Drosophila melanogaster: one gene and its partner. The protein of the gene in region 2 purifies or fractionates together with the protein of the main gene of each other region. This does not show direct contact. Each region holds a gene or a part of one and is shown on either strand. Other genes may lie near its edges.

What was found.
Region 1: the proteins of Adf1 (region 2) and hb purify together in Drosophila melanogaster (affinity purification with western blotting; one study listed by BioGRID). This does not show direct contact.

Annotation. Positions count from the first base shown.
Region 1 is NT_033777.3:8,687,442-8,703,580, forward strand, and holds hb (hunchback), read right to left. Parts: upstream 10,382-16,139; 5' UTR 9,885-10,381; intron 7,160-9,884; exon of another isoform or gene 7,015-7,159; intron 6,732-7,014; 5' UTR 6,714-6,731; coding exon 4,437-6,713; 3' UTR 4,048-4,436; downstream 1-4,047. UniProt on the Drosophila melanogaster protein: Gap class segmentation protein that controls development of head structures.
Region 2 is NT_033778.4:6,653,381-6,669,696, reverse strand, and holds Adf1 (Adh transcription factor 1), read right to left. Parts: upstream 7,428-16,316; 5' UTR 7,250-7,427; coding exon 7,249-7,249; exon of another isoform or gene 7,129-7,248; coding exon 6,940-7,128; intron 6,303-6,939; exon of another isoform or gene 5,641-6,302; intron 5,548-5,640; exon of another isoform or gene 5,502-5,547; intron 2,978-5,501; coding exon 2,684-2,977; intron 2,625-2,683; coding exon 2,320-2,624; coding exon of another isoform or gene 2,257-2,319; 3' UTR 1,612-2,256; downstream 1-1,611. Other genes in the region: CG9410 (uncharacterized protein), read right to left, coding at 1-205, 263-537; CG15908 (uncharacterized protein), read right to left, coding at 990-1,388, 1,441-1,512; Dpit47 (DNA polymerase interacting tpr containing protein of 47kD), read left to right, coding at 7,769-8,398, 8,456-9,016; sced (scrambled), read right to left, coding at 9,717-12,185; geminin, read left to right, coding at 13,468-14,046; Opbp (Optix-binding protein), read right to left, coding at 14,472-14,525, 14,587-15,133, 15,188-15,580, 15,637-16,316. UniProt on the Drosophila melanogaster protein: May play an important role not only in the regulation of Adh expression but also in the transcription of other genes.

The DNA of each region.
Region 1 (16,139 bases), on a different chromosome or scaffold from region 2:
GGATGGTATTTCGTATTTGGTATAGAGCATTGGGTAGCCGGAGTCCGCTTGCATATATTTTTAACCTTTTGTTGTTTTTCGTTAACTAAAGTGCCATCAGGGGCAGATGTTTTTTTCCATCCCAGTCGGAGTTTTTCTCCCATATATATCTCCTCGTGTTTTTTTTTGTTTTTGTTTTTGTTACCCATCCATTTACATGCGGAGTGGACACGATGGACGCATTTTGTTTGCCGAACTGTAAAAATTGTTTTGTTACTTTCGCTGTTTGCTGTCGCGAGTTTTCCTTAGTTATCCGCTTTGTTTATTTCCCTATGGAACGGTGGGGTCCTTCATGGATCTCTTTCATGGTATCTATTCAGTGTATAGGATAAACCCCACCACCACCACTACCATCAACATCATTATTATCTTATAGATGTGCTTTAATTTTCTACAGTTTTGCATATTCATCAAGCAATTAGTTTTGGTTTTTGCCTTTGAATTGCAGTTGGAATTTTGTGGCTGAGTGGAATTGTTGTCGACTAGGATGATTAACTATCATGGTGGGCATACATAATGGCAGTTGAATGGATATTTAAGTTGGGGTTGCAGGGTGTTTTAAATGTGAATAAAACGAAAATCATCATTTTTTAACGTACTTTCCGTACTCAGTAGGTCTCAGATGCAATAGAATCTGAATATTTTGTATTCAAGCAGCACATATAATAACTAACTTAACTTAACTAATTTTCTTATTGTATCACTTGTTTATAAATTTATTAATTTTAAATTGAATAATAGTATCTTTAAGATACTCGCCACGCGTCTCAGTAGATCTGTCGTAATTCACCGTCAGACAAACACATAAATTGGTCGACTGCCAAAACTCAGATGGTCAGCACATCCTTGGTGCTCGTTAGCAGCGTTGACCACTTAAGGATTCGCTACACCCACCTCAATCTCGCAGGACGAACGCGGGCCGGTCAGCTGTTGGACGAGGTGAAAGGATGGTCTCCCTTTCCCTCCCTGGCATTCTAGGCATAATTCCAGAGAATTGCTGTTTACTGAAATAAATTATCGGGTGTTCAACAAATCCTTAAGGTGGCTCGCACATGACGTCACGCTTGAGACATCGAAAGGATCGCCGCTGATAATTAACCCACACACAGATGCTGGCCCTGGTCCCTTGATCCGGGTACCCGACTGATCCGATCCCATCTCATTCCTGCCCAGTCCTGGCGATTTTCATAATTAAAATGCGTAAAGTTGTGGAAAAAAGTAGCCGGCGAGTTTCGATCCCTGGATGTGGGCGCCGGCTTTTACTGATGCAATCAACAGCTCATCAAAGGATGCTGACTTTGCGGGGTGGATTGCTAATCATGGGATCGCATCGGATCCTGCATGTGGCCATTGGGCACCCCGGACGCCGTCTAATCAACCAAACACCCACAACATGTCGCCCTGTTACCCCCCGAGTATATTACTATATATTTTTGGGTGAGTGGAAACCCTTGTTAACCCCTTTCCCCTTTTTCAATATTTGCTATTTTGGTTTTGTGTTATTTTTGGTGGCAGAGCTGCTAAAAATGGCCACCATATCGTGCACCGTTGGCACCAAAAACTCAATCCGTAACCCACACCAAATCCGAATCACATCCCCCATCCCAAAATGGCGAAGTCGAAGGTGGTGGTTAAACATAAATACCCTATTTATGGCGTTGCTTAGCCCTGTGGGATATATGTACATACATGTGACCAAGCGACTATTATTTGTATATACACTGAGGGAAAATTTATGAAATACTCTAGATCACAGCCCTTTTTAGCTGAGTATTAAAGAAATAATCCAAGTTCCATCATATGTACGAGTATGCTGTAATACTACAAAACTTAAGTAATTCTATCGTTTAATAAAATATATTTAAGATAACAAATCGTATGATTTATAAAACGTTTAATATAATAACTAACTAACTAGCTTAGGAAGTTTTGTTCTTATTTCCAAGTGCACATAATTCTCCAGACTTAGCTAGCTTTGATAATTGCCGATTGAGTTGGGGCAGTGGTAAAAGCCCAAATTATGTATTGTGAAAGTGTGCCATACGCGTGTCCTGCTGATCAATCAGTGTTGGGGGAGTCAAAAGGTGAGTCAATAGCTGGGAAAGGAGGATGGCAAGAGCAGCTGCATTCAGGACATAGGAGAAGGGACCCGGTACCCTAACACGACCAAAATTACACCTTTCAAATGGTCAGCAGGCCGGGCAATTGAACTATTTGAAGAACTCGCAGGACACAAAGTGGCCAGGACTCTCCACCTACTCTTCTGCATTTTTGTTTTTTTGTCTATTCGCAAACAATGACGGGCAGCAGGAAGAAGGGAGATGCTACAAAGCCACAAGCTGAGATAAGAACCGAGGAACAAAACCAGAAACTAGGGATCGTTAGCTCAAATGAGGACAATGCGGCAGGGACTCCTTCGTTATCGATAAACATCTTTCGCTTGCGGCGGCCACAAGCCAAGAGTTTATCCGGTACAAAGGGCAAATTGCCAACCTAACTTCGCTTAAATGAACAAGGATGTGCAGATCCTTCTGGCTTGAGGCTTTAATCTAAGGGGATATGCAAAATCTAATTTGCGATAAGATCAGACGCCTTAAACCATCATCTTGGCCCCGCACTCACCCTTGACTCCCAACGAAATTAATTTCGTCCATAAATATCAATTATTGGTGGAATGATTTAATGAGGAAAAACGGCATTTAAACGAAATTTACATGGAATTAACATCTAGAGAAGTGCATTCCTTCAACCACCAATCAGATGCAGCTTGGAGAAAACTATTTTTATAGAACTGACTTTCCACTCGAGACCCGAAAATTGAAGGAATTTCCCCTTATCCACGCGCCATTTGGCTGAAGTGCGTTGGACGCATGCGCGCCAACCCCAAAAAAAATTCCAAGGATCGATCCCAAGTGATCCCGGATTGCAGAAGGAGTCCCCTTGCTGCGTCATCTTCCTGCCACTCCTCCTCCGGCTCCTTCAGCGCGTGCTCATGAGTTTTTCATTATTATATAATGCCCCTCTCATATGCAATGCGAATTGTGCGTTTTCACGCAAAACGTCAATAATCCATCAAAATTCGATGCATTGAAATATGAAGGAAGAAAGCAGGAGCTTGTCCAATTTGTTGGGTTGCGCCCGCACACAAATTCTGTATTGTATATTATTCCTTTTCATCTAATAACTTGGGTATTTAGCACATGATGGAGCAGTTCTTCAATTGAAAAGAAGATGCATACATACTTACAATTTTCCCAATATATTCAGTTGCTTTTTTGGTGAGGGTGATCGCTTGCGATAAATCATGTTTAAAGATCGCGTGTTGACAGTTCCATTGGTCAGTACTTGGCCATATGGTTGGATAAGGGATATATTATAATATGCTGGGGTTCTGTTGAAGAAAGTTAAAGGAATCTCCAGGATATGTATGAGTGTTCATAGTACAACGCACTAAATAAAACACCATATATAATAATGAAAGCTAAAGTCATAGTCAGGTATAATAATAATAATATCTTCATCTTTATTATGTTATTGCATAAAAACATTTCGTGGGCAAATATCTTAGACTAGTTTAATTTACTTAAAATGGGATTTATCAAGGATTACACTGGGCTCACATCTTAAGTCTCGAAATTCGTTTCATGACCTCGACTTAGATTTTATGGGGTAAATACTAATTTTGATCCGTTGCTCAGATTTCGCGCATCTTAGCTACTCTTTAAAAATCTCTAAATTTGTACTTCTTCTTTCGTCAGTTTCAGTTGCATCGAAAATATTGTCATTATTGCCAAAAGGTTAACAACAAAAAAAAAAAGCGAAAAACTTGTGAAATTATATTGAATAATTGGATTTATTTGATTTGATTTCGTTCGATTCGAATTCGCTTTCAACTAACAAAATACTGAGAGAATAATATCAGAGAAAGAACTGAGTGTTATGCGCATATACGAATATGTTAGGTTAAATAAGACTAATTAATTATTTTAGAAAACATACTCATTATGTATATGTTATAAACTATATTTTATTAATTTGACTTTGGACTGTTGGTATTGTTTGGTTGTTTCGCTTGACTCAACTTACAAATTAGATTTAACTTAGGCTTATGTTTCTCCATGCATTTATGATAGTTTTTAAACCGTTTTCAGGGTTTTTAGTCGATTTCGAAAATACAAGAGTGTATAGGAGACAGATTGAAAGGTGGCTACAGTTCAATACAGTTAGGATAGTTAGATAAACTTAGGTCTAGAATTAGCGGCTTAATTGGCTTATGTACAATTTTCGACAACAAAATAATGTTTGGAAAACTTATGCTACGAATATATACAATTCTGGACAACGATTATATGATAATAGTGATAAATAATAATAACAAGGTGATGGTGATGGGGAACTTAGGAGTGAGCATTCCTGGCCATGTGAACGAAGAGGCCGACGGGTCCGTCGCACTTCTCGCCGCACATGTTGCACTTGAACACATCGTCGCAGCTGTGGTAGCCCATGTGAATGGTGTAGAGCACGGCGTCCTTGAAGAAGATATCACAGTACTTGCACTCGTAGATGGCACCCGCCGCCGCCGGAGTTCCGGATGGAGGAGCTGCAACCGCTGAGGTGGTTCCATTGCTGCTGGAATTGCTGCTGCTGTTGCCGTTGCTATTGCTGCTGGCATTGGAGCTGTTCCCCGAGCTGGACGCCGTCGAACTGGCACTGGTATTGGCCTGCGGCACATGGGCCGTCTCCATCGACTCATCTGCCGAACTGGTGCCCGAGCAGTGCTCCTCGGGCATGGGTTTGCGTCCGGCAATGGGCGAGGATGCAGTTGGCATGGGTGTGCTGGGTACTTTCAGTTGCTCGGGAGATGTCATGGCCTCCGATCGCAGTTGTAACAGGGTGTCCAGCTTGAGGACGCGTCCCTTGCGTCTCGAGGCATTCGAGCTGCTCATCAGAGGCGTGGCCTCCTCCTCCACCTTGAGATTCATGGCCAGCGGCTGCTGCGGTTGTTGCTGCTGCTCATCCTCCTTCACTGGCGTTCCTTGGGACAGATCCATGGCAGAGTCCACTGACTTACGCTCGTACTCATCGTCCTGCTCCTCCTCCTCATTGTCGCTCTGCTGCTGGTTCTGTTGCTGCAGTTGCTCTCGCATTCTTGGCGACAATTGGGCCAAGACAGCGGCCTGTTGTTGGGCGGCCAGCATCTGGAGATTGAGGTTCCAGTAGGGGAAGAAGGCCATGTTGCGGTTCTGCTGCAGAAGGCTGGCCAGAGGAGGCAGAAGATTGGCTGGACTGGGCAAGCTGGGCGTCTGTTCCACACTGGCCACACTCTTGGCAGGAGAGGCGGGCAGCGGGAGCACTGGAGATGCCGCCGGAGGAGCGGAGTTGCCTTGAACCAGAGGGAATCCTTGCAGGGCGGCACTCAGCTGAGATGTGGCGACTGGCTGAGCTGGCTGAGATTGCTGTTGCTGCGGAGCGACAGCTGCAACATTTGACTTCCGGCTGCCGCTGCCACTTCCTCCACTGGCAATCGGTCCACCATTCTTGCTCTTCGGACCACGACGCGTGCCGTAAACATCGATGACCAACGAGGGATTCGGGGTGCCATCCTCGTCCAAAACCATGCCGGGCTTGTGACCATACTTGCGCAGATGCAGCTTGAAGCTGTGGCAATACTTGGTGGCGTAATCACAATCCGCACAACGGTACTGATACACAGAACTGTGCGACTTGCGGTGCGAGTTTAGCATGGATTTGTTGACACACGTGTAGCTGCATTTGTCGCACTGGAAGGGCTTTTGGTTCTTGTGCTTCCGGATATGGTACTCCAAGTGGTGCTTGAACTCGGTGACGAACGGGCACTTCGGGCACTGCAGGATCTTGTCTGGTTTCATGTGGGTGCGGGTGTGCGCCCAGAAGTCCACCTTGGTGATGGCCACCACGCCGCAGGTCTTGCACTTGTAGTTCTTCATCTTGCCGTGCGAATTGTAGATGGGCATCCGGATGTTGGTATCATCGTCCTCGGACTCGGCCATGTACTTCATGTCCTCGCTGGAGTTCGACATCTGATCGTGCTCCTTCTCCGGCTCAATATTCGACTGACTCGACTTGGCCGGCGACTTAGGCGGTGTGACATCCATGGGTGGTGTTAGTGCCTGCAACTTCTCGCTGCTGCCAGTGGCAACTGCAACGGGCGCAATTGTGGAGGCAGATGTGGGCGTGGGCTGCGGACTGGGTCGCAGATTGCCGCCATAGAAGTGCTGCATGGGATTGGGCAGACCAGGTGGCGTCAGCGGATTGAATCCACCCATCAGATGGTGATGGTGATGATGTTGCTGCTGGGCTGCCTGGAAATGCTGCTGGTACTGCTGTTGCTGCAGCAACTGTTGCTGCAAGTTAGCATCGTAATGCTGCAGGCTGTTTTGATCGTTTTGGCTGGGTGATGGGGTCATGGCGCACAGGGTATCCATGGGTTGCTGCTGAAGCTGCTGCTGCTGCTGCTTGAGGAACTGTTCCAGGTGATTGGTCGAGGGAATGGGCGATTGGCGCGGACTGCTGGCCACGCTATTCCCGTCGAGATGATGACCTGGCTCCTGTTTGATATTTGCCGCGAACATGCTGTTGTACCAGGCGTTGTGCTGCTCGTAGTTGGTCGTGGCTGTCGTCTCCCAGTTCTGCATCTTGGCGGCTCTAGACGGCTGTAATGGATAAGAAAACAGAGAGAGTGGGGTTAGTGGGCATATTCATTTATTCATTCATGCACTGCGCCTGCGTCGAGTTTTTTCCTCTTTTTTTCCGCTTGTTTTTCATTTTATTTTTCCTCGCTTTTATTTTTTTTTTCTCTTTTTTTGGTGTGCTTGCGGCACCACCCCTAACAAAAAATACGTCAGGGGTGGCTGGGCGGCACCCACCCCCTGAAGGCGATTTGAGTGATTTTGTGTTCAAAATGGAGACACTTGGTAATGGCTAACAATATCCTACCGTTTCGTGGCCGCTCAGTGCGTATGATTGCGATTGTATCGAAGTATATTCCAAATTTGTCGGGATTTTCGTAAGGATTTGCAAGTATATTATTGGTGCTGCTTCTGTTGTGTTGTCGCAGTGGTAACAAACTCGTGACTGACTGAACAATTGCAACAGGCATTAGTTTATATATCGCTCAGGTAGACGGATGCACGCGTCAAGGGATTAGATGGGCAGAGGTGACGGGAAGTCAGGTACAGGTCGCGGATCGGTCGGGAATCGAGGATCACGGATCGCGGATTGAGGATTGCGCTCTTGATCCATTCTGGATTAGAGCAGAAACAAAAAATTATGCGCACTTGGATTTGGATGATCCGGGAGCTTAGCGGATGGCCAGCTTAGCAGCGAGCTGCGAATTTTCCACCGGTTTTCTATGGGGATTACGTTGGTCAGGAGTCGACAGCAGGAGTAGGCAGCTAGCGTGGGCAGTTTCGTAGTTAATAATAAAAAGTAAAAAGGATTGCGGGACTTAACTAAATTAACGGATCAGAACTGCTTACACCTGCGGGAAAACTCTAAGGACCAACTAAACTATATGCATAATATGTGCAGTATAATTATTACACACCCATTTGAAAAACATTTTCCTGACAACAATTTTCCGCCAGACATTTCACTTTGATTTGCGTAGTTTTTCTAATAATTCTCGCATTAAAATTGCTTGTTGCCTATATTTTTTCCATTTCCAATTTCACACTGAAAAATTGTGCAGTTGCTGCATTTTTGGCTAATTGTTTGTGCTTTCAAGTAAATATTATTAAAAACGCAAAACGGGAAAAAGGGGCATTTACGGAATATTATTATGGGAGGATGGTGCTGTGCTATCTGGCAGCTAAAATATCTACAATACTTAGGCATAATTGATGGTTCAGGAAACAGAAAGTGCACCACACAAAATGAAGCTTAGCATATTTATTTAAATTCGCTTTTGTGGATATTTTTAAAGAAAGCCAAAATTAATTGCTCGGCAAGTGTGTTAGTGTGTGTGCGCACTATGAAACAAAGAGAATTTTCGCCTTTCGTCTGGGCTTTTTTGTGCCATGCCCAACAACAGCAACAAAGCCAAACTAAAGGCCAAGTGTAAAATTAATATTACGCCGGGCAGGGGCATGGGCCAAGGGGGCAGGGGTGGGGGCATGGGGACCATGCAGTGGGGGTTAGTGGCGTGGTGTGGCCACAACGAGTGCAGCCAGGCAACCGAAACTGCAAAAGTAAACTAAACATGTGCTAGTCGTTTTTGGTGCCTCCCCCCCCACCCCAACACCGCCCCCTTTTTAACCCTCTAAAAATATCATGAAAATGGCAAAAATGGAAAAATTCGAAAACGCAGAAAATGCGCCACACAAAAAATGTTTTTGTTGAAAAATCCGTACAAAAAGCAAGCCAAGAGCAGGATATGCCTGCTTGTTTGCAGGCGTATATAAAATATATGTATGTATGCGTATACATATGTGTAGTTGCAACCGTTATGTTGTTGGCTTAGAACAACTTGTTGTTTTTTGGAGCTGCATTCGTTTAGGGAAAACTGCACTGCTGCTGCTGACTGAAGTGATTCAATGTCATTTGCGGTTTATAAATATATCCCGTATAATATGTGCATATTTATTTTTATGCGCCTAACAAAGCCCCATTTGTTTGAAATGCGCTCAGTTCTTTTTGTCGGCAAACATTAAAACTGTCGGATGACAATCAATTCTGCAAAAGATCGTGCAATAATGATTCCCATCATCATCCTAAACAAAAAAAAAAAACAAAGCCTGCGAGCGTCACATAGGTGTATTCATTATATTTGAAATGCATTTTGGCAAGTGCCGAACTATTTGCCATTAAAAAATTGCCACGTTGACTTTGAATTATAGTTCGATGTCTAAATTTAAATTATTAAAAAAGAAAAGTCGAAAATGCATTTGCCGAAAGAAGAGCGAAAAGAAATGCTAAAAATTGAAGGGGTTATTTGGGGGGCAGGAAGGCGAAAAAAAAACAACATGAAAGTCGACATGTAAACAAATAAAATTAGCTGTCAGGCGTAGAGGGGGGCGTGGCCAGGGGCGTTGCTTAGGAGGAGCAAATGAGGAGGGGGGGGGGTCGGTTGGGGGTTGGATATACGCTGCAGTTCTAGGCAAAAACAGACAGAGCGGGCAAAAAACAAGTTCACCCGAAGATCGGCCAAAAGCCAGACAGATTTTAAAATATTGTTTTAGAATTTTTGCCATTTGCATTTTTAGCAATGATTTACCACTCTGTGTGGTTGTGTGTGTGCATGTGTGTGAGATCTCTTGTTTGTGTTCCTAAGGTTAGACAGAAAAAGAAGCACTCGATTACAAACAACAAGAAGAGAACAAGAAAATGTGCAGAACTAGAAGAAAGTTGAGTACTTGGGATTAAAGGTGATTATGACATAGAATAAGCAAATTGGTTATCAGTCATCAGATTAGCATGAATTAATAAAGTAAAATACATTAAGCATAGTGCATAATAGCATATAAACGAACTATTTAAATCTGTTTCTTTTGAAAGTATATCACATGATGAATTATAATTAAACAACTATATATCGAATATATTCTATAAAAAAAAACAGATTTCGTATCAATTGAGAACTAAATTAAAATTTACAGGGCGTATGTAAATCCTCACAAAAACTGTGTATATTCTGGATACCCCAACATTTTGGCATTTGCTCCCGCAAAAGCGATTTGTAATTCTTGTTTATTTGTTTATCCGCGGAAAGCTTTTGCGAATTTCTACCTCCATGTGTTTTTTACGATTTATTGGAGGTCGAATGCAGTGTATAACTAGGATATTGGATGGTACGCCCAGTTACTTACCTTGCGGACAGTCCAAGTGCAATTCTGCGGGAGAATTTGGAAACGGGAACCGGGAGCAGGAGCAGGAGCACGTAAGTTTTCGCTTTTCGCTCGCGGACTCTCTCTTTCCCACTCTCTCGCTTGACCGCGGCACGGTTACCGTTAGACCAACACGCACAGTGCGTGCGAGGGGGAGCGGCGATGTGGGGGCTCCTTGCTCTTCGTTTTTGTCTATTTTTTGGGCCTCGCTTTTTAGCTTGCTTTTGTGCTTTCTTTTTCGCGGAATTCGCGCATGTGCGGGATGTGGTCTTTGCCAAAAAATAAGTTTTCGGGACAAAAGTCTTTTTGCAATTGGTTATCTTTTAGCACAAGCACGAAGTTTAATTGTATTTAATGGCAATATTTGTTTTGATAGCAGTTACGTTTCGTCCTTTGGATGTTTGGTTATTTTTGTATTTCAGTGGCTGCCTGTCAATGCTGGCGACTTTCGTTTTCGGGACTCGGAGCACAACTGACCAAACTCACGCTCAGCGGGCTCTTCTAATAGCTGAAAATCTCCTCACTGCTCCTCACAACAGTGCACTCGCCAAAAAAGAACTCAAATCTAAAATCTCAATTGCAAAGCAAAAACAAATGCCAGAAGTGCAACAACACAAAGGCGCACGAGAGCCGTTACACGGAGAAGCAGAAATCGAAATGAGAGAGCAGCCGGAGAGCATCAACAACGTAACGACGAAACTCACTCAAAACGGATACGGATGCTAGCTGTAAATCTGAGTGACTTTCCCCATCCCCAAAAGCAATAACTAAACAGCATCCCCTTCGTGGCGTTCGCTCTTTCACTCACTCACCCACTCTCTCGCTCTGACTCGCTCATTTTATCCTTTTGCATTTTCTGGCGCTGCATTTTGGCCGAATGCAGCTGCCTTTTTGGCTCTTTGCCGTTTTTTGGCATCTCCGCTTCACTATTGATTATTGATTTCTGGCCCAAAAGTGAGAGAGCGGAAATGGAGGAAGATGGGGGGCCTTCGCCAATTGTTTTTTGGGCAACTTTAAGCCCAGACACATTAACAACTTAGCCAACTGCAATTGGGACGATGGAAGTTTGGGCCGAGGAGATTCCTTGTTGCTTTAACACATTTTCCTGTTGCTGTGCGTGTTAACTTAATTTGGGCAAAGCTTTGCCACAATTAGCATTCGAAATTCCAAATCTCCTTAAGGTAGTTTGTGCATATTGGGTGTATTCCACCTTTTTAAGCTAATTTCGGAAAATGTATCATTGTTAGCTTGACAAGGATTATGGTTAGCAATAAATGCATATCATTAATAGTATCATTCGGTTTAGACCAATTTTTTTCCCAAGCGGAATGTTCGCTTTTAGAATGATAAATTAGGAGCGATTGTTCTAACTAGGTTTAATGACAAATTTTGGACTAAAAAAAAAAACTATTATTATTATTCATTATTCATAGTTCATTGGTAAAAACCTTTTTTTCTCTATACAATACAAAAGGATAACTTATTATTTGTATGGATCAGAGTTTTTCTAAAGAAAACATACATGCAAATTCATAATTAAGTTCGGAATTAATGTGCCTCCAGCTATTTTATTCAATCTCCTGTTTATGTGGAATATTTGGGCTAAAATCTCCTGTTTATGTCGAATATTTTGGCTAAAACTAAAGTGGAACGGGGAGAAATTAGGGCGTTGGCAGAGGGGGTGGGGAAAATGTAAAAGCAATATTTACAAAACAACAGAGCAAACAAATCGCCGCCGGAATGCAAATTATACAAGTTGCTCTCACATATCCAGAGGAATATATGTGTCAAAAGGACGTCTCGGGAACAGGTAGTACCGGAGGTAGACCTGCCATTGACGTTGACATGGCAAACCGGATTACGAATACGAACTGCAACCGGACTTAGCGAAGAAAGGATTAAAGGACGCAAAGCTACCTGATCGGCCCGCCCAGTTCATTAATCCGCGCATCCGAAGAAGTGCGACTGGAACTAGAGTGATGTGGATTTAAAAGCGATTTAAAAGTTGGCCGTACTTCTGCACAGGACATAATCCAACATTACGCAGTACGCAGGATCACGCAGGATCAGCGCCGCTGATCCGGAGGATCCAGTTAGTCCCGAGCGATTAGCGTTCGCTGATCAGCCCGATTAGCGTTGCTTAGGCGGGCGGGTGCTGTGTGGATCCTACCCAGTTACGTTTGGAAAGTTATGTAAAGTTGAAGTTAAGGACATAACAAATAGTCCCAAGGACCGTCACGCTTGACCTTTTAATTGATGAGCTGCGATATACCTATCCGGTGATCGGGACAAACACAAACATGCTGATGATCATGATCGTCTAATTGCCGAAAGTCCATGCCACGCATGCAAATGATCCTTATCCTTAACCTTTGGCCTGCGGCTGTCTCAACAGAAGTTCCTTCGAGGGGAAGATTGGGCAGATCAACAGGGCGGATCCGCACATCTTTATCTCATGATCTTCGCATCTCCCAAATGATATGCAAATGTATCTGTAAGATGTGCAGCCAAGCGCTTGGGATTTTGTGGTCGACCGATTCGCCCCTGGAGGGAGTATCTCATTAGGATTTCACTTTTTTTTGTGTTTTGATTTGGCGCACTCTTCTGCTGACCTTTGTCCTGCGGCCTGTTGAGATATCACCTTGAGTTCGTAAGCTGATTTCATGCCAAGGATGATTTGCCATTTTACTTCAGGTTTTTTCTTTCCTTCTGAAGGGGATTCTCTTTTTTGGCTGTTTTGGTTTGTGTGGTTATTGTACGGCGATTTGGCTCTTTGATCTTAAGTGCAAATTGGTTTCGCCACACAATTACTTAGATTTATGCGCTACTGTTGGCTAGAGTGCTGTTCGAGAGTAGTTGCATACTTAAAGGTTTTGGAAGCTGATTAAAAAAGTTTAGATTATATAAGAGTAATCCTGTATTGAATCAATTAGAAACCTATCCAAAAGGATAGGTTCAATGATGTTAGTTTTTTTTTTTTTCAAAAATGTTGAATTTATAATTTTTGGTGTAGTTTGAAACGACAGTAAGTATTCGATTCATAATACTTATCGCTTATATATGACTAGAACGTTGTGCTCAGTCACTTCGTGGTTTACTCCCTAACAAAACCAAACAATTTACCAAAAAGTCCTGTGGTCCTTAGGTAGCAAAAAAAAAAAAAAACACTTGCAAATCTCTGCTACATTCGCTGGTGAATTTTGCACACTTCTCCGGCATGTCGAAGCCCTTAGGAAGCCGCAAAAATTAACATTTCGCATAAATCAGATGCGAAAAGTGCTCGCGGGTTACGCCCACGAAAATGGGTGGAAAGCGAGAGGGCTGCGTTAAAATTCCGCCGAAATGTTATGGTAAACAGGATGGCTGTGTACACGGGCGTTCGGCCAACATCCGTAAATCCTTTTTTAGCACGAAAAACCGAAGGATTAAAAAAGGAAACTAGAGCAGAGGTCCCGGGGCAGGGCGAATAGTTGCTCTAATTTTCATTGTCCGCCTTAATGGTTACGCCGTAAAATTGGCTATGCGGCCAAACAATAGTGCGAAGGACGACGGCAGGACGCGCAGGACAATCGTCTGGTGGATTTCCAGTCGACACGCCACGAGATTTTATGAAGGCAACTCGCTTTGCATGTTATTCCATAGATTTCGCTTCGGTCCCGGTTTGTTTTGGTCAGGTAAGACCTTCGATTAACAATGAAAGTAGCTGGAAAATCGCGAGAAACTTCGAAAGACACACAAAGATACAATATCTATGAGTCTAATGGTCATTAGAGCGGTGCGCTCTACATACAATTGTACCAGCCGTCTTGTTTGAAGCCTAAAAAACGTCGCAAAAAACACACTTCCGCGTAAGACATCCCATTTCTGTGGTCCGATCGTAAAATATTTAGTTTTTTATGACCAACGGTGCGGGCAGGTAGCTGGCTGCCGTTTTTTGTGCGCGACCTCAACCCTTTCACCCATTAAGAAAAAATCGCATCCTGTGAGTGTCCTTGCCCGTTTCCCTCGAAACGGCCCACAATTTGTGTGCTTTGCGTTTTCTCCTCTCTTTTTGTTTCCACCTAATGTCGGCGTCATTGTCTTCTTTATGACGCCTCGGTTGTTTCTTTTTTATGGTGTCCTTTGTCCTTTGAGCCTCGTTGCACGGCCAAATCCCTACTTCCTCAACCCTTTGGCGGACGAGAAAGTTGCTAGGAGGAGAACGGGTTAAGCGAAAACTCCATTGCACTTTTTACAAGCCGCGATCTTCTTGGAATTAGTTTTGGTCATTAGGCGAAAGGGTTAATTTCGATTTTGGCTCTCGGTGGGTTTACTGAGTGAATTCAATGGGCTAAGGCGAGTAAAGGGTTATACTGTTTTTACATTTTACTACTTGGAAAATACTGAAGAACTTGTAGGAAAAATTTCCAGCACTTTTAAAAGCCATATATAACTTTATGAATATGAACTTCAAATGTAAAAACCTGAAAGTGACATGTAGTTATTTTAAGGTCCTTGAAAATGATCATCGTCTAAAATTTCTTTTTTTTAAATAATTTTTAAAATATTTTTTTGATAGCATACGAAGTATTTAAAAATGTGAACAGATTAAACACATTAAATTTATAAAAGTAAATACAACAGATTTAGCATAGAAATAAAAATCATTTTAATGTTCCGTCCATAAGTAACGGTCGTGGAAAATTCTTGAAAATCCCACAAATTATATTCGATCCCTTTGGCCGAACATTTGGTGCGATTACATTCGTAATTCGCTGGAAATTAAGGCCACTAAGTCGCCAGCGAAATGAATTCGGACATTGGGCATTGGACAAATGTAAAAAGGACTCTAGAGCCCCGACCATTGCAATGGTCCATTGTTGAGCGTCCGAAAGATCTGAAAACCAAACCCAAACCAAATCCCGAGCTTAGGCAATCGGCATTGGGAAATAAGCGCCAAATATTCTACCCCCCACTCCAAAAACGAGCATTCCGCTCACCCACCCCATAGAGATCCTTGGACGCAGGACGATGTGCCGTCTAATCAGTCCACATTTTCACACTTTCGTGACCCCTGCGGCGCTACAGATGCGTCGATCGGGGGTTGGCCCCTGGCCATTGGTCAGCGTAAAACAAAGTAGAGTAAAAATAAAATAAAAATATAATAAAATTGGGAACGCGCGCCAGCGCTCTGATCCTGACCCCTTGTCAGCGTCAGCCAGAGGTTAAAATTAATGCGAATATGTTGATGTGCGGATGTGCGGGGAGAAATTGCATCAATTCGGGGTCACGGCTAAGACGCCTTAAGGAGAGCTGTCAGTTCACAGGGCACACATATAGGGGTGGCTGGGGTCAAATTTATGGCTCGACATTGAAAACTGAAACAGTCGAGCGAAGGATTTTTGCAGAGCGGGACTCGGCGAAATTTGCGCTCCATTGTTTAGCATGTTGTGAAAAATGGTTCGATTCGGTGCGAAATTGGCTCCGGAGGTGGGGTCATTCCGGTTTAGAGCGATTTTAATTGACCATTGGCTGACCCTCACCCGTAACCGGGTCGCCTGACCTTTTTCCGTCTTGACATTTGTGCAAATGCCTGGCCGCTGCTACACATTTAAATAATTTTTCATTGCCAGCCAGGTTTGTTTTTATTGCAAATGGCATTTAATTGTTGACCCCTGAGTTTCCCACTCGAGCGTATGGCAAAATGTAACGTATTTCTCGTCAACGGCAGCTGAAAAATTCTGCTCATTTTCCTGCCCAACTAGAAGCTTCCTTGCTCTCACTCGCTCTCACTCGCTCGCTCTTCATCTTTCACTGGCCGGACCAAAAAGAATTAGCTAATGGCCGGGGCTCTTTTGCGGAAAATGTCGGTAATGGCCCCGGCAAAACTAAGCCGGAAAACGTACGGCCCAAATGCGAATAAAAAATTGAACTTCTTACGATAAATATGCGAGCCTATTAGTCGCACAGTCAACGCCAATGCCAAGCTGGCCAGAACATGGCAGAGCAGGCTTTTAGGCCGGGCCAAAAGCCCATGTCAAGCGCTGAATAAGTAATTCTTTTTCTAAGATTGCGGCCATCAGGACGATTCCAGGACTCGTTCGTCCCGTCCAAGGTGTGGGTGCCAAGAACAAAAGGCATAAAACGTTAGCACGGATAAACAGGATGCGAGAGGACAAAGCAGAATATTTTATTTTCTAATGAATGCGTTGAAATGCCAGATTCCGGATTTATTTTGGCAATCAGAATGTACCTTGC
Region 2 (16,316 bases):
GTGGCACTCTGACTTAACCAAGCTGGGCGGCACCAGGGTCACCTGCGAGGTGTAGGCCTCGTTAAGCGGCGGAAAGCCAACAATGAGGTCCGCCTTGAAGCCCTCACTTCCCCGGCTGTGCACATCGGAGCGCTTCACATACGGCACGAACTTGTGGTAATTGCTGACGTCGGAAACCACGCTGTACATGTCCTGCATGGAGTAGCTACAGCAGATGGTACTTGAGAAATGATTTCACCAAGGGCGCTGACATTTCACTTACCCCACAAGCTCCTTTTTTGTGTACCAGCGGTGTTTTTTGCGGAAATCATTGAATGTTATGTAGGACCGGTGGGTGCTGCTGGAGAAGCTGCGCTGGTGTCCTCCACTGCAACAGGATAAGAGCAATCTGAGTGTCACGATCAATTTTGCTGCCGCAATGTTACGGTTTGGAGTCGGCCTCGGGTTATGTAATTTACATTTACCTGCTGACCTTGTTTCAATAAGGGGCCATAGGATTCTGACGTCCAGGGCTTTCAGTGTGCTACCCTTTAGCATTTTAGGCAAAGCTGGAGCGTTGGGATGCGGATGCGGAATAGGTATGTAGGTAGATATCAGCCCGTATCTGAAGTATCGCACAAAATGTGTCGTCAATACAGCTATTTTTTAGCTAGATTACCTATTCTCAGCATTACTGTTCTTAGACCGATTACCACTGCTAACGTTTATTAGATTTTACACAACTTGTTTGATTCGTAATACAAACACCTAGACTTTGAAAGCAAATGAGTTTTATAAGAAAAATGTGTCTTTACGTGTTTAATGAAAGCAATAATAATAATAAATGTAATAAATGTTAATAAATGTAGCAGCACTATCAGAAACAAATACAGCTGACACGAGCGTTGCCAGACCGCCGATTATTAGAAACCATTGCTGAAAAACTGAAATCTTTTAAGAACAATGAAACAACTTCCTTCTTTTCTTAACTAATAATTTACTATTTATCTTCACATGATCGTGCACAGCGAGCGTTCCTCTCCTTGCGGCGCCGCCTGTCCAGAGAGCTCTTTTTGCTTAAGCTCAAGATAGGTATTCTCGTTTCGCTTCTCCATCCAGTCCGGCAGAGGAGCAGCCCAATCCAGCGGTGGCTTCTTACGCTTCTGCCAAGTGTCGTTGGCAAAGTGGGCGCGCAGGCGGATCCTTCGGCGCTCCTCCTCGCTTTTAATCACCGCTTTGCCGGCAGCCACATCGTTCCCGTTGGACTGCTGATATCGTTCGCAGTTACGGTAATCAGTTAGCCATTGGGAGCAATCTGTGTCCTTGCCAAATATAAAGTACTGGTGGAAGCGCGCCTTAAAACTCGTGCAGTCGTCGTACTCCTCCTTGTACAGATGACAGGGTCGGATCTGTAAAGGGGATTCCTGAGTCTCGGATCTGTTAACGTAGCTGGATACTTACTGCCCATGCGTCATCTAGTGATTCCTTTGATTTGTCCGATTTTGAGTCAGCATTATCCGATTTTGTGGCCATTTCAATTACATAAAATCAATCATTAGCCCGCACAGCTGATTTTGTTTATGCCGCTGGCTCGCGGCGTTGCCATATCACCCCGATTGAAACTAGTCGGTTACTTTCAAATGTTTCATTTAATACCAAATAATTGCACAATTAATCATTAAAAATGTTTAGCAACTGGCGTTGCCGGCAACTATTTCGATTTTACTCGTATCCATGTAAAGTGTGTAATATGCGATCACTATGAAAAAGGTGTTTTATGTTTCCCTTTGTCACACTTAATTAAGCATTTCAAAGTGTCTTTCAAGCGTTTTCGGCATATTACAACAGAACTTATAAAATTAAAATAACTTTTACGTGTATACTTAGTTTTAGAGCTAAGACCCGATGGCAAATTACAACTAAATCGTAGTCAAAATTTACAATACGCTGCATATAAAGTGTTTCCACGGTCTTTTAACAAGCTACTCATAATTCTAGAATCGCTATTTTCAATCGCATTTTTTGTACAGAGCTGAGAACTGGGCGCGAATTAAATCACCGATCATGGGGTCAACTAAGCATATAAATATATATGTTTGTCTACATGGGCGTGGGGAAGTATCATTACGCGTTATGGTTTACGCTGTGGGATGTTACGTCTAATGTTATTCTGTAGTTTGACTTTAAGACCTATGAACTGTAGAAAATGACCGCACAGGACCCCCAAACCCGTGTAGATGTGGATGTGGGTAGCCGTGGGTCTGTTCTCGTTTGATCTCAGGGCAGAACGCTCTCCAGTTGGAGCAGCTGCAGCAGCTGCCGATGACAGCCGCCCGACAGTTAGTACTTGTTGTGCTGTGCCAGAAGCTGCATGTCCGTCAGATACTTGATGATGTGCACCTTCGCCTCTGCCTTTTGTCGCACGCCCAGCGTGTTGAGCATGTCCGTGACTACCATGCCGAACGACTGGTCCTCGGCGCTGACCGCCTGCGAGACGTTGTTTTGGAAAATCTTGATGGTGTTGAGCATGTTGTCGCTGTGCTCCTCCTCACTGCGCTCTCGCTTGAGCGGCGGCTCGTAGAAGTATGGCTTTTGGTCCTTGCCCACGGCAGTGGCCAGCTGTGCATCGCTGGTGACAGTAATTTCTGCAAGAGACCGAAGTATTTAGCAGGGATCTCTGGTGCTGAAATGCTGGTTCACCTACCATGCGGATGGGTCAGTGCCTGGGCCGAGGTTGTGGCGCTGCCGTTGAAGGGCTGTGCAAATATATCCACGACGGTCTGTTGCTGCGCCTGCTGCTGCTGCGACGGATCGGCCACCTGGTTGGCGCTTTGACTCCCATTGGCGCACTTGCCGAGCAGCGACTCTCGATACTGGCGGATGGAGTCAACCAGGAATTGCATCTGCTTGAAGTAACGCCAGCGCGATTCCTGACATAGTTTCATCTCGCGGGCGAACTTGTCGCGCAGACTCTTCCAGCGCTTCGTACATTTTTGTTCTAAAATGAAAAAGAGTTGTTGGTTTATGATTATTAAATGTCCATATTTAATAGTTATTAAACTAATGTTGCCTTTATGTATGCATTGTCTATTAACCCACATTTAATATATGTATGATCCAAAATAAAGAAGCCTTAAGTTCTGAAAACTCAATCTACTATTTTATTGCTTGGTTGGTAGATTTTAAAAAGGTCGCATAAGCTCATATTTCGTCTGAAATTTGCGTCACATTTTTTTGAGAAATTACTGACTGCCTTTCTAATGACTCACTTAAAAAATAATAAAAAAAATGTTTTTAGTAAGCCGAAAATATGTATCACATGTTTCCAAAAGTCCATCAGCTAACTTAAACAATATTTTACATCGGCTAAACGGATGAGCTGGCTGACTCAATATAGATTGTTTACTCTAGCAACGAGATGCAATGTTCAAACTCATCATACACTTTCCTAAACTACCACTTAAAGAAAAAAACGTTTGCGAAGAAAAGGGCATCTGACTATTATTGCCTTCTCCCTTGGTTTTAAAATAGGCTGCAATGTGAACTGATTGGATTTTCGGGCGACCTTCGCCTTCCTTATGATCCTAGTGCGAAAAGTTAAATTTATCAACATTCTTCGTGAGCTGCAAATCCTCCAAATAAATGAAGTGATAGAAATAAATAAAAAAAAAAAGACTGTGCCTATAATTAGGTGCGTCACTGTACATATGTATGTACATATATCAGCATATCATACGTACATAAATGTACAGTTTGTCAAGAAACTGTTTACACACTGTAAAATAAGTTTAATTTTTGACTTTAAAGCTAAAAATAAAGGGTTTTTTATGCTTAATTAAACGCAATTTTTTTTATAAAATATAATTAAACAATATTTATTTTACTTATAAATCAAAAAACAAATTAAAAATATTAAATATACAAGAAAATAAACAACAAATTCCAAGTTTACACACTTTTGAGACTGTCAAGAAACTCTTTACACAAAACACTAAATCGAAGTTTAATCCTAAATTTTTTAATTATTTTATTAAAATTTTAAAAGTTTTGGTATGTAGTATGTTCCCCATTGGCTTTAGCTACAAGTTGAAGCCTTTTTTTCATGGATTGGACAAGTTTTTGCAGGTCATATTCAAACGGGATCTTTTCACACTCTTCGACTATTACAGTCATAAGCTGTTGTTGTGTTTTAGGTCCCTTTTTGCCACCTTCTTCTTTAAGTAGGTCCACAAATTTTCAATGGGGTTCAGATCAGGACTCTGAGGGGGCGTATAGATCACTTTACCACAGTTATTAAGGCGCCAGGTGCGTACATTGCACTCTTTATGTTTCTGATCATGTCCTGGTAAAACTTAAAATTTGGCTTGTTGTTGCTAACCAGACTAATTTTTTCTACACTGGCCTTCAAATTTGTTTTCTAACATTTCTAGATATTGCACGGCATTTATTGTGCTCTCAATTAAGGCTAGTTTTCCCACTCCACGGCTGGTGATACAGCCCCACACCATCAGTGACATTTTTCCAAATTTTATCGTTGGAATGATATTTTGTTTTTCTAGCGCACTCAACGGTTTGCGCCATACTCTGCTTGGCCCGTCGTTATAAAAGAGCATCATTTTTGTTTCGTCACAAAATATGACGTCATCCCAGTACTCTTCCGCATGATCCATCATTCACAGGGAATGAATGACGCTTTTCAATATTGATCTCTGATAGCAAAGGCTTTTTTCTTGCAACTCTTGAAGAGTACCTATGGCGTAGGATGACTTGGCGCACAGTTTCGTGTGACACAGTTAGGTGACATTCTTCCCTGATATCCTGAGCAAGTGATCTGACCGAGATTCAGGGGTTCGCAATCACTTTTCGCATGATAAGGCGGTCTACTCGCTTGTTAATTTTGGTTTTCCGCCCACCACCACTCTTAGGTTCAAGCCTGCCCTCTTTTTCCGAGCCTTTTAAAACATTGTAGACGGTCTTACGGGATACAGGAAACATTTATACTAATTCTGGAAAAGATTTTCCCAACTGGTGGTTATAGTTTATTAATTGGGTAACTTCAAAAGTTAATCTCTTTCCAGGCATTTTATTAAATTTAATAATTCGCTTTAAGCACGTTTGATCAGCAAAATTTCACAAGCAAAGTCAACAAATTTCAATAGAAGCGTTGTAAAAAGCAATGCAAAGCCAAAAATAACGGAAAAATCGAGTTCGTTCTAAGAAAAAGAACAAAACAAAGTAGGAAAACAAAATGTGTAAAGAGTTTCTTGACAGTCTCAAAAGTGTGTAAACTTGGAATTTGTTGTTTATTTTCTTGTATATTTAATATTTTTAATTTGTTTTTTGATTTATAAGTAAAATAAATATTGTTTAATTATATTTTATAAAAAAAATTGCGTTTAATTAAGCAAAAAACCCTTTATTTTTAGCTTTAAAGTCAAAAATTCAACTTATTTCACAGTGTGTAAACAGTTTCTTGACAAACTGTATGTATTTTATTTTATAGGGTAACCCGTCAAATGCTTGATAAAGTATACCTCTATAAATGAAAAGAAAAAAGAAACCAGATTCGTAAGTAAATGAAATGTTTCTGAAAATATTACAAATCTAATATAAACTAAAATCTTGTTTCTGTTACATTGAATAAATGCTTTTTTCTCGAAGACCTGTTCATAACAACCGGTGCAAGCACACCTGCGCAGCTGTGCGTGGCGGTTCTCCACAGAAGGTTCTTCAAGAAGCTCTGGACTAGTGTAGTCCGGAACTGTGCAGAAACTAGAACTATGCCATCAAACCCACCCAAAGAAGCATCAAATCGGGAACCAAAACAAACCGTTGGCAGCAGCAGCGTCGGTGGCAGAAGGAAGGCAGCGGACAGCAGCTTCCCAGCGCCAGCAGAGACGTTGACGTGACGGTGGCTGTGACGTCGCCGACTCCCGCTGCCCGCTGCCAGGAGACGGAAACCTGTGGCATTGCTGCTGGCTCCACTTGACTGCAACTCCAGCTTTCCAGCCACCTACTTGCATAATCGAAAGCGGATGAGGTGCAGCGATTTGGCCGAAAATTTAAGGTTCGATCAACGGCCGTCGAGGGGGTGGGGTGAACGGTACATTTTGTTGGTATACTCATGAAAACGAAACGAAAGCTGCCTGGTCGGTCTCCGGTATGTACAGTGGGACTCTGAAGTGTTGACACAGCTGTTCTAATTTGTGCTTATCTATTGACCTTTCCAAAGCCCTATATTTTAATTTTCCGAATTCTCATCCTATTCAATATTAAAATAAAATCCATAGTTTCGTCTAAAGAACTGAGCAACTTATTTATTTTACTAATAAATACGTATTTATAACCCGTGCCAAACTGTTTTCTGCCACTGTATGCTGTATGCATGTATACGTGTGTGAGCAGCGCACATCGCAGTCGCAGTGTACGAAAATAAACGCTGGCGCAAGCAGAATGGCTGCGGAGCGAGCGAGACAACTACTGCGACGCGACGGCAAAGTACAGCAACTTCAAAAATATCGACTGAGCACAGTCTGCACACCGACAGAGCAAGCAGGGCCGCAGTCCGAGCGCCCGAAAGGGGCGCTCATTTTAGAGCAGATCTTTACAGATAGAAATTAACCTAGGTTTAATTACTAATGAACTGTATTCTAAATGCAACCATATAAATGCAGTAAAAAAAGTTCGCATAAAATGCAATTTATGAGCGGTGCAGCCCGCGCCCACCCTCACACGTATAGATCCCCCCCTGCCATTTCCTAACCATCAGCCAGCTACTGCGCCGCGTCGCCGTTCACTTTTGCGTCGTTTTCTGTCGTCGTCGTCGACTGACTTGTCCCGCCCCTTCGACCTGCGCCCGCACAGAATTAATCAATTGGCTGGGGCTGGTTGGGGCACGGACCGAAGACGGCTGACAGAAAGCAGAAAACCCGTAGCCAAAACCAGCCGAATTTCACTTACCAGGCACACCGAGCGTTTCGGCGATTTGTTTCCAGGTCTGGGCCTTGCGCACAAAGTGCTTGTAATTGTAGTGCGACCTGTCGTATATCACTGGGTTCAGCTTGACAGCCTCGATGAGATTGAGATCAAACTGCTGCTCAAGATTGGCATCCAGCTTGTCCATCTCAATGGCCGCCGTGAGGGTATGCACTGAGGGGACAAGACGGGGAAACAAGAGTTACAAATTTAGCGGGGACGAGACGGACGTGGACTGGGTCGGATCCCAGTTCCAAACTGGGCACACGGGCTCCCGCAGCCGACGACACTCACTTTGCTTCTTACGTTTGCTAATTGTTGTTAAGTATTTGGCGCGAACGCACGCTCTGTTTGTTTTTATTTTGATTGGTTTCTTCTACGAGGAAGGAACGTCGACGTTTTAATTTTATTTCTCAGTCGCGTCTCTGCCAACGGTAACGGTACGTCCCAGCTCAGTCGCGTCTCTGCCAATTAGGGGTGGGAAAACGCCGATGAAGGGGTCATCAGCGCATCGATAATTTTAAAACTCTCATACAATAACAATATGTTATGGCGACTATCGATGTTTCTGATATATCACAACAGCTGCGTAAAGCGTCAAAAGGCTTAAAGTTTTACCATGTTAAGATTTAAGATGTTAAGATCATAATTCGTTCCGAGTTTAGCTCGTTTAAAGAAGGAAGCGTACGACTATCGATAGACGGAGGGCCACCCTTATTTTAGAGGCGCCACCTTTAGGAAATGTGCGGCACCTTTGGCCAGTTGGTATATTGTAACGGTTCGTCTGCGGTCACACTGTTTCTGATTAGACCAAATGAAACAAATGGCGGCACAAAAAGCCTGGACGGATGAGGAGCGTCTGGAGCTGGCGGCCCAGCTGGACGCGGAACTGGATGCGTTTATCGATGGCCTGGAGAAGAAACGTTACGAGGAGGGCTGGCCGGAGGACCGCTGGCAGGAGGAGATGGACAAGCACCCGTTCTTCATGAAACGTGCTCCTCAGCCAGGGGATGACGTGCATCCGATGTTCGAGGGTCTGCAGAAGCTCAAGTACGATCCGGAGGAGAACACGCGCGACGAGCTGGCGCTCAACTACAAGGAGGATGGCAACTTTTACATGAAGCACAAGAAGTTCCGCATGGCAATCTACAGCTTTACCGAGGGCATCAAGACCAAGACGGACAATCCCGACGTGCTAGCCGTTCTCTACAACAACCGCTCGGCGGCTCACTTCTTCATCAAGAACTACAGATCCTCGCTGAGCGACGCCCAGCGAGCTCTGTTCTACAAGCCAGACTACACAAAGGCCCGCTGGCGGTCGGCACAGTGTGCGTACGAGCTGGAGAGGTTCGATCTGTGCACCCAGATGTGCGAGGAGCTGCTCGAGGTGGACGTCGACAACGAGGTGGCCATCGCGCTGCTGCACAAGAACAAGATGAAGAAGGTTAGAATACGTGATCCAACTGGATAGGAACCCACATTAAACAAGTTATTTCCGTAGCTCGAGATAGAACGCAATCAGCGCAAGGAAGCTGCCGAGGCAAAGCGACGGCTTACACGCTTCCACAGACTCCGCGACGCCATCGAGCAGCGCGCCATTAAGTTTGACGATCAAAAAGTTGGCAAAAAGGACGTCCTCAGTGAGGAGCTCCTTTATCCAAAGTTTCTGCCTTTGGAGGACCATCCGGTGCACCTAGACGAGGACGGCAGCACTCTGATCTGGCCGGCTGCGTTCTCCTACCCCGAGTTCCTGTACAGCGACTTTTATCAGCAGCTGCCGGAGACCACCACCATGCGGGATTGCCTGGCGACGCTGCTCACCGAAAAGCTGCCATACGACAAGGCACACAACTACCGCCTGGGTAACGTGCACGTTTACTACGAGAACCGCAAGGTGGGCTGTGTCCACAAGGTGGACGAGGAGAAGCAGCTGGCCGAGATAATCGCCGAAAAGGGGTTTTTCGTTTCCGGTGGCGCTCTGCTCTTCTATGTGGTGCACAAGGATTCGCGAGTGGAACAGGAGTTTATAAACGAACGGCGACGACCCATGGTTTACAGTTAAGACAGTGAGCAAATAAAGTGATTCCTTCTTGAAAACAAACAAACACCTTTTCATTTGCTTGTAAAGTTTACTTCATTTTTGTGGCATATTTTATTTGTAAGCTTATGGTTTAGTCACGGTACAGTTCAGCATTGGTTATGCTATCTTGAAGCATTTTATTGTAAGTTTAACTAATCTCTGATATGTTATGCGAAGCCGAAAAGCGTAGTTCAGGCTACGCCGCCAAAAAATATCTGATGCGGCGTAAGCCCATTTTGGTAGACGATTAATCATCTGTAGAATTGAAAATTGTTTAGCTAAATTTAGTTTTTCTTTAACAACAAGGCGCCTAAATGAGTCAACAATGTGGTTTTTGGTTTAATACGTATAAAAGCGTTTTTGTAAATTTTCATAATTGAGCATATTCTTAGACATTCATCGTTGGTTCACAACAGTAGTAATACTAGGGGACCCCCCAAGTGGATCCGGATATGGTTCGTTAAAATACATTTGACAAAGCAGGATGACCATACATATAAGGCTTAATACTAAGTGCATCGTGGGAAAGCGTATTATATACTCGGATAACATAATAATCAACTTGTCGAACTAATCAGATCACATTCACAAGAAACTACAACATAAATAGCGAAATGGTTAAAAAGCAGTTTGTGTCCACAGCGAAGTGTTAAACATGGTTACGGAAAACGGAGAATCCATTTTAGTGCTGCGGCGAAGGTGGATTTCTCTGGAGGACACTATTGAGTCTCATCTTCAGCGGCGAAAAGTCAATTTTCTTGAAGCGTGGTAGGGAGGCGAACTTTTTCATGGTGCCTCCCTCGGGCTGCAACTCATTGGACGTGGCCACAGACTGAATCATGGGTTCCAGACGCGCTGGTGCGGGCAACGCCTTGCTGGGCGAATGCCCGATTTTGGCCAGCGTCGCATACTTTTGCAAAAGACGACTAGCCTTTTCCGCCGCTTGAAAGCGATCCTCGTACTCCTTCTCCAGATTTGGCTGTACAAAGCATTCGTTCGCTACGGGAAGAGCAGATGCTTTCGCCTTGCAGGAATCCTCAGATGCTTGGCTATCATCAAACTTAAAGTCAATGTTCTTCAAAACGGTCAAGTGCAGCAGTTCGTCATCCACGCCTTCATTGTTATTGTTATTGTTGCTTTGGTGGGTATTGTTGCTATTGGTGCTGTTCGGACGCTTTACCGGATGGGTGACTGCATAAACACTGTCAGAAATTTTGTGGGCGGCAGTCTTTTTGGTTGAGCTTTTAGTCTTGGCTGATACTGATGCTGATGAGATGGTGGCCGCCTTGTGACGCTGCTCAATGATTTGCTGGGGCGAGGAAATGTAGAGGTTCTCCTTTCGTTCACGTCGCAACTTGGAACTGACTAAGTGCCTAAAACTAGGTCCATGTTCGGTGGGACTGCGTCGCTTTGACTTGAGTGTGTCGCAGCTGTTCGGATAATAGGAGGGTATCTTGTCGTCCACACTGATAATCGACTTTCTTGGTGTCTGGTAGTAGTTTTCCTCCTCTGGCTTCTGTTGCAAAGTTTTGTCCTTGGGCGTTCCCTTTTGCGGCAAGGCCGGCGCCAGGGGAGATTCGGTGGGTGTGCTTGTGCTCAGTCCAAAGCCGACAGGCTGCGCCTCCAGCTCCTGTGCGGCCTTCACAGCCAAAAGGTTCTCGTAGAGGTGTTCCGCAAATCCAGCTGCAGCCGCTCCGACGGTACTGTTCAGAGAGGTTCCATGCATGACTTCGTATATGTCACTCTCATTGGCGATCTGCGTCTTGGTGGGCTGGTCCTCCGTGTTACAGCTGCTGGTGGAGGAGCAGTAGGAGCCCGTGGAATATCCGGAGGATGTGGACACTGTACTGCCGCCTGGCTGTGGTGGCAAATCTTTTACCGTCGCCTTTAAAATGGGTGCCATTACACAGTATCCCGTAAGGTCTTCGTGCAGTATCTTATTTTTCTTTAGCTGATTACTCTGCGGAACAGCTCCATGCGATCCAATGAGATTGATGGTTGACGTGTTACAAGCGGAAAAGTTGAAGTTGTACGGAAGTTGCTCCGAAACATTCAGACTTTCCAAAGAGTCTGCTTTGCCCAATTGGCTAGATATTTGCGCAATAATCTCATTGCGAGAGATCGGCTCAATGACCGACTCATCCAGACTAATGTTTATCTCCATGCTCGACTCATGGTTCTGGGCCTCGAAGTATTCTCCAAAGGTGTCCAGCAGATTGAGTTTGGACAAGTCCGGACTTGAGAAGCTATTACGCTGAGACTTGTTCAACTGGGATGTGCGCTTTACCGGAAGCACAGGCTCCGGCGTGGGGGCATTCTCATACAGTGGCAGGACCTCATCGCTGGGTTCATTGGCCACCTCGCTGGTGCTGCCGGAACGCTTTTGACGTGAACTCCCGAACAGGTTGTCCAGCATGTTCTTGTATTTCTTCTTCTTGGCCAGCTCCGATTCGGGATTGGTGCTGGACCGCGCAATCTCGCCAAGCTGGGCGCACTCAAAAGTGTTTATTCGCTGACGGTAAGGATGTGCGGGCAGCGGTGGCGGTGAAGGAGTCTCCATGACTGACGGCTTCATCTCTTCGTAAATGCCGGATGCGATTGAGACGCGGGAGATGCGGCTGCCGTCAAAAATCTCCTCGTATATTTGCGAGACTCGCGGAGAGAGAGCGCTAGCGTCGAGGGTTTCCGGCAGGTTAGGCAGTGGGCCCAGACCTCCGGGACCCCTGCTCAGCCGGCGCTGTTCTAGAAAGACCTGGCGATAAAGTTCCAGATTCTTAATCGACTTCCGCATCCATTTCATGTGACGTCGGCAGGATGTCTCCGTTTCCAGGGCGAAATAGATGAAGCAGTCCCGCCGATTTTGCGTCCAAAACAGCCCGTACGAGTGCTGCTTCGTGCGCGAGGTAGCCAGGCTCAAGCTGACGCCCGGAACGTTTACGGAGACGCTAATGGGTTTAGCGGGGTGACACTCTTGGGAGTGAGACTCGGTCTCCATGGCCTGGAAACTGAGCCGCAGGAAGCAGGGCACACACTTAATGGCCTCTATTTTCACTTGGCAGCGGGTCCATGTCTTGTAACGCAGCGCCACTGGTCGCTTATCGTGTGTATCCAGCTTGGCGTCCATAGTCATGGAGATTTCGTTGTGGTCCATCTTGGGGCTACTGCTACGTGGTGGGGCGGATGGAGGTGCGGTGAATGAGTTGCGAGTGAAAAATAAAAAAGTAAACGATCTATATCCGCTACTTCGAGAATTACATCTTTTTTGCGACTGGGTGGAGCTCTTATCGGCTATTCTCTTATCGCACGTTTATCCTTCGTGTCCTCGTGACGTGACTGGCGTTGCCACCTGGCGGAATATCACAGAAATCGCGTTTCTAGAAGACCAACAAATGAATTTATAACTTCAATATACATCAATCAAACTTAAGGTGCTCAGCCTAAGCTACACAGCTCTTTTAAGTTCTTTATTTATACTTTTAAATGCTAAATGCTTACATGTTATTTGGACATCTTGAGTACTAGCTTAATAAGAAGGTAGTATCCAAGCAATTCTTATTTATAATCTCTTAACTAATTTACACAATCTTTTAAATTATTTTCAAGATCCATAACCAGGTCTAAAACCAAACAAATAAAAACTAAAATCCTATTTATACTTCGCTTTATAGCTATTTTAATATTTATTATTAAAAAACGCTAATGATGTTTTCAAAAATGTTAGGCATTTCCTTTTAGTATTTAAAATTCTACATCCGACATTGGGGTATATTTGACTTCTACTTGGCTGAGTATGAATTATGATTTGCAAAAGAAGTAAAAATTTAACTTTAAAATTAGGTATCTGTCTAACTGTTTTTGTCGTTTAAAACACAGGGTAGGTATGGTTTTCTTTCAATTTAAAAACATCGCTAGAAAACTGTTTCCAAAAAGTAAGCTGCATTTTTTGTTTTTAGTTTTGCTTTATACAGAAATTTTAATACTATACTTTTTTGATAAGCATCCACCAGCAAGAATACAGCAAGCTTTTATTTAATATTTTATTAACATAATTATTTAATATGAATGATTGGTAATATTTTGAAGTACTCTACTACATAGCAGTCGTAGGATTTGTTATTTTTCACATTATTTTTGTAGGTTTGTAATTATATTTTAAGGGATATCTTAATTTTACATTCCTAAAATAATTTGGTAACTTTTTGCGATAGTCGTGACACGAAATCGAGGGATGAAATTGCATGTGATGCAGCCCCTTGAGCAAACAGTGTTGGACAACAGCGCGCGGCATCGGCATTTTTTGGCGGCCATTACAACGAATGGAAAACTGTGAAGCGTTGCGCACAAATTAATGCATAAACAACAGACAAGCAAGTAGCACACGCTCTGCCGCCTGACAACCAAACCCACCGAAAGCACAATACACATCTCCGAAGATGTCTTCGAGCGCTGCCAGGGTCTACATCCAAGTCGAGACAGAGGCCGAGCAGAAGGAGCACCTGAAGCAGCAGAGACAGACCCTGAAACCCTTGCAGGGCAACGTAAACGATAAGGAGAACCTCACTGGTTCAGGGCGCGCCTCCATCGTGGATCAGCTGAGTCGTCTGAAGGCCGGCGTCCAAGTCGCGCCCAAGTACGGCAAGCGCAAATGCGTGGACACGGCGCCCGCGATTTCCACAAAGGATGCGGATACCCAGACTGATGCTGAGGCCGTTCCGCTTGGCAATGCTGACAAGCCCATCACGGCAGAGGATCTCACTAGCACAGCCGAACCCGGCGAGAACTACTACAAGCTGCTGGCCGAGCAGCGGCGACTGGCGCTGGAGGACTCGCTCACCGAAAACCGCCATCTGCACGAGCGCATCGAGGGGCTTGAGGAGGAGATGGACACTATGCGCCAGGAACTGGACGAGGCCAAGAATTTGGTGGAGGTCCTGAAGGAGATCTGCGAAGAGGACAACAGCGAGGTGGAGGAGGACGACACTACGGGTGACGAGGACAAGGTCAACGCCTAGGCTACACACCAATCACACGTTTTTTTTAGTCTAAGGTTTTACATTTAGTTGTAGTTAAATATCGCGTTTATATCCCTGTTCGTCGTCAGCCAACACAACGGCTGGTCTAATTGTACGCCAGCAATATATTTACTTGTTACACGCCAGTTATAATCCTAATAAAGTTTTACATTTGCACAATTGCACACAATATTTAATTCGTATTCCTGTATTTTATGTGCAACTTATATAAACCATTTCGCATCCATATGCTAGTTTAGATATGCTCTTTTCCTTTCATTAATTCTACATCAAAACAAATGTGTTTATTAGCTTACATCAATGCGGATGGATTTCAATGTGTGGGGAGCTAACGCAAAAATAAAATACTCAAGGTACAACATATTTTTGAGACAAATATTTATTGGATGTAAAACTGTGAACTGCTACTTAAGCCAATCTGTAATAACTTCCTCGCTGTGGAAGTTATCCACGTCAAACTGCAATAAAGGAAGAGAAAAAGGTAAGTTTGGGAAGAGATACAAAGAACTAGTAACTCACCACAACGCACTCTTCGTAGGTGGGTACGGTGCCCACGATGTCTACATCGTTTACCACAGCGTTTATGTAAGCGGCATCTGCCTCGGCTGCCGCTATCAACACCGCAGTCTCGGAATCATCGGTCTCAGCGACGTGTGCAGCATCAGTTGAGGTGGCGGGATTCTCCTGCTCCTCCACCAAACCGTGAGCCGACTTCATGTGCAGGCGCAGGGCGAAGAGACGTGCGTACTCAGCTCCACAAGTATTACAATAGAACTTCCCAGCTGCCTGGCTCTTCGAGGTGGCCGCACTCTTAATGTTCGGCGTACCAGAGCCGACACTTCCTTTGCTGCTGATCTCCTTATGGGTCTGCATGTGATTCTTGACGGCGTACATCGAAGAAAATGGGCGATTGCACACGGCACACCGGTAAGGCTTGGTGTGGGTGTTTTTGTGGGCGTACAGCTGCACGGAGGTCCGAAAAGTCTTGGGGCACGCATCGCATGAAAACTGTCGTTCGGAGCTGTGGATGCGCAGGTGGTGGGAGTACACTTGGTGCGATTTAAAGCTAAAATAATAAGTTATTTAAAACTGTAATTCTATGAAACTTGATTTTACCCACCGCTTGTTGCACACCGTGCACACATACGGCCGAATGTTGGTGTGGGTACGCAGATGAAGGGTCAGGGAATATGACACCCGAAATGTCTTGCCGCAGACCTCGCAGGCGTAAGGCTTTTCTCCGGTGTGGACCCGTTCGTGCTTGACTTTTTCAAAGGGGCGGGTGAACACCCTCTCGCAGTACTGGCAGGGAAACCCGGGTTTCTCCTTATCGAGACTAGTACGCTGGGCTAATTTACGGGAGGACTCGGAGTCGCGCGGTTTCTCATGGATTTTTTGGTGCATCTGATAGGTAACTTCGTTCTCAAACTTCCGGTTGCAAATGCTGCACATAATCTCACTAGATTCCTGTTGGTGCATCTGTTTGTGTACCGTCAGGAGGGTTTCATCGAAGCTGGTAAATAAGGAAATGATTCGTGGTATTTCTTTCTATTGCAGATATAAGCATACCTTTTGTTGCATATTTCGCAGTAGAACTGGTCCAGCTCGCTGTACTGCTGATGGGCGCCTATAGGAAGGGCGTCCTGAATGCTCTTGGGAGCTCGATTCTCATGAATGCGCATGTGGAATTTGAGAAACTTCTCCGAGCTAAAAACGGTGTTGCAGATTCCGCAGCTAATAACGGATGATGCGTCTCTCGGACCCGTCCTTGCACTGACACTGGCCAACTTTCGCCGGACGGGTGCTTTCGCATCGCCATCTTGTTGGCTGGACCCGCCGGATTCCGCCCGCGGACATATGTGCTCCTCAGCTTTATTTCGGTTCTCGAAAATGCTGTGGCAGTCGTAACAGAAGTAGCGATCGGAATTGCTAGGCTCGTTTTGGTCCTTCTCCGCCTTCACGTTGGCCGGAACTTCCTCCACCAGCTCCCAGAGGGGTACGTCTGCGTAGACAATGTCCTCTTCCCCGACCTCTTCCGAAATGCAATCTTCGGCGACCTCCTCGATGAAATCCAATTCCCCGCTAGCGCCGGTGCAGCAGCCGGCCTGCGGACCGTGGGCCCTGTCGTAAGACTCGGTGTCCTCGTATACATTGCCGCAGCTCTCGCAGTAGAGGAATTCCTGCTGCAAGGCGCCTCCGGATAAGTCTCCATCCTCCACGTGGAGGTTCGGGGTAGTCTCCTCGGCCTG